Coturnix japonica: one gene and its partner. The protein of the gene in region 2 binds, or shares a complex with, the protein of the main gene of each other region. Links are inferred from orthologs where the notes say so. Each region holds a gene or a part of one and is shown on either strand. Other genes may lie near its edges.

Region 1 (4,256 bases), on a different chromosome or scaffold from region 2:
ACCAGAAGGCCACTGGCCTGACTCAACTTGCTTAAAAGCCAGTGACTTCAAAGGATAAGATTTTGCTAACAGCTGAACAGCCCCACTGCTCTGTTCCTTTCTATCTACCTCCCTTAACATAGAAGGACTTCCAGCATTGCAGCGACTTCTTGGCAACTAACCACAAATGTTATGGTGTGGACAGAGGAGGATTTATATATATATTTGACTAGAAACTATATCAAGAAGGTTCAGGTTTCTTCAAGGCTTCTCAGCTGTTACTCATACTTCCCTCAATGAAAGTGAAGCTGTTGGGTAAACAGTATGTTTAAAGCTTCATACTTCTGCCTACATTAGATTTCTGCTTTGCTTTTTAATTTTGAAGCTTTGAAAGCTCCTTGTTTTGGTGCCTCAATGAGAAGACTCCCTGATAATAATGATGCCCTTAATGGCTAAAGCCCAGGGAGCTGTTCTGCCCCATGCACTGAGCCCAGGCCTTCACGTCAGTGCAGGAAAGGGCTCATTGCACGGCTGTTGCTTCTAGTTACTTTTGTGAACACAAAGCTAGAATGGCTTTGCTGAGGTTTTAAAGAAAACAAGCTGTGGGAGTAAAAGAATGCTCAGTCTCTTACCTTACTGTGTAAGTGATGTGAAGTTTGTTCTTCAGGACTTCTTAAAAACAGGCTGCAGTGACAACCTAGACCTGTTTCCAATAGAAGACTGCAGTACTGCTGAACACTCTCACTGTGGCTAATGAACAGACACTGAAGTTCCTCTGGCAAATGTTTTTCTAGTTTTGTTTTAATAACGTAAACAAAATAAGATCTGTATTTCTCTGAAGCACCAACTGTGCCTGCTGCTCTGTGGCTCAAGATGTACTCTGGGGCAGTCCCTTTTTCAGCAGGGATGTGAGATAGCTGCCTAATTCTTCATCCTATAGAAAAGAAAATCAGGATGAAATTGATTGTCTGCTTGACTCTTTCCCATTTCTGCTACCTAAGAATGGGCTAAAATAACTCTTGGATGCAACAGCAGCAGTGTTCAAAAACAGAAATGAACACAGTTAGCACAAATGTATTCCTAGTTGTTCTTTCAAGATACCAGCCTAAAACTTGTGCTTGTCAAATAAGGTGTCTGGATGTCCAACTTCTCTCTTTCAGAATAAATGATTTTTCTGGACAGCAAAGAATGAAGATCTGTTGAATTATTTTTTGTGTGCTCTGCTTTCAAGAAGGCAGATCCTCGCTATAAAAAAGAGCATTCAAAATGCAGCTGTAAGAAGTATATTCTTGAGGAGAACGACTATCTGATCGTAGCACAGCTCTGCCTTGATGAACTTACTGGTTACAGGCTGAAGTTTCATGCCTACTTCATAAAATATGCCCACCCTCTGTTGTTCCCTTGCAGGCCTGTTTTGGACTGTAAGATGTTGAGACCAATTAGAATTGCTTGAAATGTATGTTTTCATGTATTCCTACCTGGTAAGTCCAGGATACGAGCAGAACTTTGGTTCCTTGATCCTCTGAGTGTGCTGTGGCTTGGATAAGAATGGACTCGACTGTTATAGAACCATCAGGGAGATGCTGCACTGAGTAATCCTTCAGGACCCTGGTGAGACAGAATGTATGCAATTTATTTTAGAGGGGACTGCATTAGTTTGGCCAAAACCTTGAGTGCATCTGCAGTCATTCAGCCCAAGGGGAAAAAACAGCCAAATGCAACCAAGAAGGGGTTTACCCTTTGAGATGGTTGTACACACGGAGCACGGTCTCATGTTCTTTCCGTGGGTCCTGAATGTGAACACGGCAGGTGAAGCGCAGCTGGTGTTCTGCAAGGCCCAGCTCCTTCAGGGCCTGCTCAGGAGAAACCAGGCGGAAGCTCTGCAGAGGAAGAGTGCAAACCCATTACAAACTATTTCCTTGTGCACACTGGGGTTTTATTCCCTCTCTGTAGCCCCTACGCATTACTTACATTATCCTTCATAATCAGCGTGCCATGCATAAGCTTTGGCTTCTTGGCATCTGGTAAGAGACCTAAGCCAAGGGAAGAGAAAGACAACAGAGTTAATGATACCATGCTTGCTTGTTACACATGGAAGACAACTGCTCTAGAACTCAATGGATTTCCAAGTCTCAGCAAAAGCATAATTGGACTGAATTTTCATAGCAAATGGGCAATGTGGAGCAAGCAAGGTCATTTTGTGCCCGTTTTTTTTGTTGTTGTTAAGCACTACTGAACACCCATCCCCAGCACAGTAGTTACCTCACTTCACCGAAGCCCTTCTCACCCACTGAAACACTGTACAACCTGTTCTTACACAGGAGGGGCTGCTACAAATAGCCCAGCAATGCTGTTTCCACCTAATTCACGTGCTAAAATTGCAGTTGAGGGGCAGGACCCCAAATAATGTAATTCTTGGTTGAGAGATGTGTCACCTATTGCTGTTTCTCTCTTCAAGAGTCCCAAGGAGATGTCCACTGGGATGCTGGGATTGGTAAATATAGTTGTGGTCTCTCCATTTGCAGGCATGTAACAGTTGACATCTGCAGCATAAAGAAACAACATAAGGATCAGTGCAGCATTCTGATGCCCATAACAAAGTACTGAAACTAAACAGCCCCCCAGCATGCATTCCTTGCTTTCTCTGCTCATCTTTTAAGTCAGAAATCACTTATTCCCACCCCATCTGGACCCAATTCCTCATAATTAATGTTGCTAAATTAACATTTCTGATACACACCTGCCTCTGCTGCTTCTAAGTCTGAAGAAATGCAAATGCAGTAAATGCTGAACCATAACAATACAAGTGAAACATCACAACGTAACACCACAATCATGATGTAACATCACTAGAAGCCTAATGGACATTAAAATTAAATGGGCTTAGTGTATACTGACTTAGTGTCATTATACACTACAGACACTGATTTCCTGAGGATGACAGGTTCTGTAAATGACACTATTCCTAACTCTACGCTGATTACCAGTAAATTAATTACATAAAGCTTTCCTTCTTCTTTCTACTGTTTTCATTATCAAAAGTGTACGTACGAAATTCCTGCTCTATTTTCTGCTTCAGAAACTCCATTTTCTTTGCTTCCCCGTGGACCAGCAGGACATTGCGTGGCTCAGCCTGGCGAATCAGCTGCATGATTCCCTTGGCATCAGCATGGGCACTGAAGGACATGTACTCCACTTGCATCTTTACTTCCAGCTGTAAGAGGAGGGTGGTGGGAAGCACAGGTGCTGTGAATCAGGAGCAACTTTGCCTTGTATACCATATGCAAACTGACTGAGACCTCTTCATGTTTACCTTAAAAAGGACGTAGAACACTTGGATTGGGAATACTTGATCTCTCCAACCTGATTTCCCAATCCAAGTGCCCTGGGACATATCTATCTATCTATCTATATGACATGTGGTGTCTAACTGCCACCTAAAGTCCCAAAAAGCTTCCCCCCACAATCCTCATTAAAAATAACACTTACTATTTGTCTTCCTTCCATTTCCAGCTTGCGTTGTCCACTCAGAATCTTATGGCCCACTGTTCCCTGCACACAATAGCCTGGCATGATGACCTGAGAAAGAAACCAGGATCATTTAGCCCCACATGCTCAGGAAAGCCTTTGTTCTGACAATGGTATCTGTAACACTATTGCATTAATGCAAAATATCACTTAGGAAACAGAATTCCTTACCATATTCTTTTCGTTCCCTGCCCATTTCCTGAAGATCTGCAAGGATTGCCCTGCATGAAGCATACCAGGGGTTGCAAACACTACCTAGAATTCAAAGATGTGTCAAAAATAACAGCAGAAAAAGCATGTGTTGCTTATTTAAAATATCATTACATATAAATTTCCTAAAACTGTGAAGAGAATCCACTAAATACACATTACAGCACACTTAATTCAACAAGGCTGTAATGGGGCCTCAGCCATTGATGCCAACCTACCATTGGTCCTGGATTATCTGCAAAGGCTCGATCAAATGCTTTGATGTGTTTGAACTCAAACATGTTTCTCTGCACAAACGTTTTCCGGATCTTCTGATTAGTCCATGTGATGAAGAGCTTGTAATAATGATTAGCCTTCTCCGTCAGCCCAGTGGAAAAATAAATTGGAGCTTTCAAGTTCATTCTTTCCCTGAAGAAAGAAGGAATCCAGAAACAGGTAAGGATCAAATCAGTATCTTGTTTCTCTATGCTCAAAGTCTTCTGTAGTCTCCAAAGACTTCTGGGCACAACACACTCTGAGGAATCCATCAGTCAACATAG
Region 2 (3,183 bases):
TCAAGTCTATATGGACGCTGTCACTTAGCAACTGCTGTCAGTTGCTTCTTTAACTGCTGCTTTATTGTTGGCACAAAACAGGCTCCAGGTGGCTCACACCATGGCTCAGAGGTATGAAGAGCAGCCCTACCACAGCCCTCTTTAAGATCCCAGTGCTACTTTACACCTGGCCTGGTCTAACCAAGGAGTAACCCCCAAATGGGACCACCAGAATCATTGTCCTGCACTTCATGCTTCCCCCTTGCACACAGTGTGACCACTGCATGGGGTGAGAGATGAGCCGGGGAGCAACTCACACTGGGGCTTTGTTTGGGAAGGGGATGCGTGACAGGCTGAGCCAAACACTTCTCTGCCACATCAATGTGAGTCTGAGCAGTAAGAGGATAAATCCTTTACTCAGTGTTTTGTTGTTACAAATGGTTCTTGGAATTTCATACCTGTGTACAGATCAGGCAGCAGAACTCACACTGCCCCTTGTTCAGATAAGGAGCTGAAAAGAGCTCTGTAATCTTCTTTGTTCGCAGTACTTGCTCTCAGAGATGTGGGTTTTTCTCATCTGCGATGCTCTGCGTTGTTATCACTTGTGTAGCTGCTGCCTGCTACCCACAGGCCACATTCAAGTAACTGACAGAGCTGATGCGACAGGAGCCCTGTGCCTGGCCGCTGCTTTTGCTTAAATAGTCTGTAGCATCTGGATGGGGAAATCTGCCTCCTGCAGGGGCTGCACGGCTACAGCACTGCTGATTCTGAGCATATGAGGCAAAAGCAGAAGAAATGCATTTATTTACTTAAAAAAATAAAGCAGGCAGATCCATCCATCAGAGAACAGACTTAAAAATAAGAGAAACCATCAGTATTGAAACAAAGATTTTTTTCTATAACAGCTAACAAAACCATTCCCTTTTCTCTGTACAGAGTAACACTTCCTACTATCTCCTCTCACAAAAGACTTTGGTAGCAAAAACTCTCTTCACAAGAAACCTGTGTAAGTACCATTCCCTCAAAGCAAAAGATGGCTTTAGTAGCAGTCAGCTTCATTCTCCTCTATGGTCCCCATAGTAGCAAGGATGTCCTCTAAGAGGGACTGGGGGCTTTTCTCCACATAGTCACTACATTTGTTTAGGTCATTGCGCAGTTCCACTAAGTCTATTGTTCTCAAAGCTAACAACATGCTCTCTGGATCCTTAAAGTCCACTCTGTTATCATCATCTGTGGGGAAGTTCTGGACCAGACAACCTTGTTTTAGTGTCCTTTGTAACCAAAAAATGCCATAGACTTCAGGTAAATCTTCAGTCCCTTGTGAATTTTTGGTTTTGTTTCGACAGAAATGAGTTTTTAAGTCAAGCAATATATCACAGGCTTTCTGACCCACTGGCTTGTCACAGTCACACAATGACTGAAACAAGAAGCTGAACAGGTTCGCTCGGCAAAATATCTGCAGTGGCTCGTTAGAACGACTGGCTGCAGATGAGACAGGAGCATAATAGCATTCAGGAAGGCCAAAACGACAAAACATGTGGTCACAGAAAATCTGAACCAGTTCCAAACAACCAAGTTTGACTTCCCAGTCTAAGTCATGTGCTGCGGTCTGGACCACTGTAGAGACAAACTGCACTGTCTCTTCCAGTTGACCTGTGCAGCTCTCATTAAGCCACATGGTGAAGACGCTCATCACGGCTCTCCTAGGAAAGCCCTCTGGGTCTGTGGACAAGATTTCTTGAAGCTTTGCCACAGTTTTCTAAATGTAAAAAGACAAAGAGAAGAGGAGCATTAAAAACAAACTAAAAGCAGTAAAACAACGTGTAGTTCTGCTCGTGCTTGCAGCGGATTACACGAAGTCATACCTCTTTATCATACTGATTCCCTGCAACAGGCGACTCTGGGACTAAGAAGTAAGTAATGAAGGCCAGGTGTCCCATAGCAGTCACAGCGCTCGCTCGCACGTAGCTCTCTGGATCCTCAAGAAGATTTTCTGTAAGCTTTGGCACCTCTGAAGACAGGAGAGACTGCTTGAACTCATCGTAGTCTGTAAAGGAGACAGCAAGGCAAAGAAGTGAGGCTTTATTCTCTCAGAGCATGAATTTGTTTCCAATGCAAACAGTGATCTGTGTCATAAAAGGAGGCTCACTGACTGCAGGGCAGCTGTCAGTGAACAGAGCTGCTGCTCGCAGCAGCGCAGACAGTTTCTGTCAGGCTCCCCATCTTTTAGCAGTGTTGTGACTTCTAGTCATACCATATTTGACACAGCTTGGAAAAATGCATCTATGGTTGCTTCTATTGGTGAGAAAAAATTTGCTCCAGGTAAATTGGAATGTGGCTTCAGCCCTATAAAGCAACTTTTGTTTAAGGAAGGAGAATAAAAAGAAATGCTCATCCCTTACTACTGTCAAGCCAGGTAACATAGTTTAATTTGCTAAAGCTGTCTTTAAGGAGGACACAGCAATTCAATTTCAACAGAATGCTAATGTAAGTTTATTAATCTTTTTGACAGACTTTGACTGTGATCTGAAAGTAAAAATCTCAACGTATCTTTTCCTTCCTTCCTTCTTTCCCCCTGCAGTTACAGGTCAGAGGATGCTCCAAAGGCCTGACTGACTTTCCTAACGCTACAAGAAACAGTACTCTAATCTGAGCCATTAAATCTCTGCACGTACCTCTCAGGTTTTCAATCAAGTTGGTGAGGAACTCCAGAGAAGAATCTCGTACTTCCCAACAAGGACTGCACAAACGCTTCTGCAGCACCAGAAATACATCTGTGAAAGCCAAGGAAGAGGCGTGAATTGACACGAAAGGTAACAAACCCAACCAAGCCACTGTACAACCTCTGCACTGTTTTCTGTGATGTGACCCCTTTTGTTGATGCTGTGAGTGAGCTTCTCTCATAGTTCTTAGAAGCACTATATAAGCAAATACAACTAAACTCACCACAAATGCAAGCAAGCAAACAAATCCTAAGTGTTTTAGGTGGGAAAAGCAGGTGAGAGCACATTTCAGATGTGCCACCAGCTGCTGTTTGTCCTAACTTCAGTAGCTTTGTTACCTTGCAAAATCTTCTCAGTTAGTTGCTTATTTTTGAAGAACATTCCTGGCAAGCACATCAACCATGTGGACATAGCTTTAAATGATTTCTTCAGAACCTGAAGAAATACAAAGCAGATGTACTTTACTGCAGGAGAAGGTGCT

Evidence for each region.
Region 1: the proteins of BRAT1 (region 2) and INTS11 are in contact, whole or in part, in a cryo-EM structure (PDB 8UIB), measured with the Homo sapiens proteins. The link is inferred for Coturnix japonica from reciprocal best matches to the Homo sapiens genes BRAT1 and INTS11. Residues at the interface, in NP_689956.2 of Homo sapiens: Asp25, Thr27, Cys28, Glu30, Lys31, Asp34, Pro117, Ser156, Ser157, Leu158, Phe159, Ser162, Lys358, Ser359, Cys366, Arg367, Arg424, Arg427, Thr465, Lys468, Lys469, Trp514, Glu515, Asp518, Ser519, Glu522, Tyr560, Ser564, Ser604, Glu605; in NP_060341.2 of Homo sapiens: Leu9, Val15, Gly16, Lys27, Met35, His36, Met37, Gly38, Phe39, Arg43, Asp47, Tyr50, Thr58, Asp59, Asp62, His70, Leu71, Asp72, His73, Asp87, Gly88, Gln97, Pro101, Ile102, Glu105, Arg108, Lys109, Val112, Asp113, Lys114.

The regions. Positions count from the first base shown.
Region 1 is NC_029536.1:1,977,365-1,981,620, reverse strand, and holds the end of INTS11 (integrator complex subunit 11), read right to left. Parts: intron 4,126-4,256; coding exon 3,936-4,125; intron 3,763-3,935; coding exon 3,679-3,762; intron 3,559-3,678; coding exon 3,469-3,558; intron 3,194-3,468; coding exon 3,031-3,193; intron 2,523-3,030; coding exon 2,415-2,522; intron 2,013-2,414; coding exon 1,951-2,012; intron 1,860-1,950; coding exon 1,717-1,859; intron 1,588-1,716; coding exon 1,458-1,587; intron 1,166-1,457; exon of another isoform or gene 914-1,165; coding exon 848-913; 3' UTR 759-847; downstream 1-758.
Region 2 is NC_029529.1:3,418,664-3,421,846, reverse strand, and holds the end of BRAT1 (BRCA1-associated ATM activator 1), read right to left. Parts: intron 3,138-3,183; coding exon 3,041-3,137; intron 2,754-3,040; coding exon 2,655-2,753; intron 2,027-2,654; coding exon 1,845-2,026; intron 1,739-1,844; coding exon 1,019-1,738; 3' UTR 756-1,018; downstream 1-755. UniProt on the Homo sapiens protein: Component of a multiprotein complex required for the assembly of the RNA endonuclease module of the integrator complex.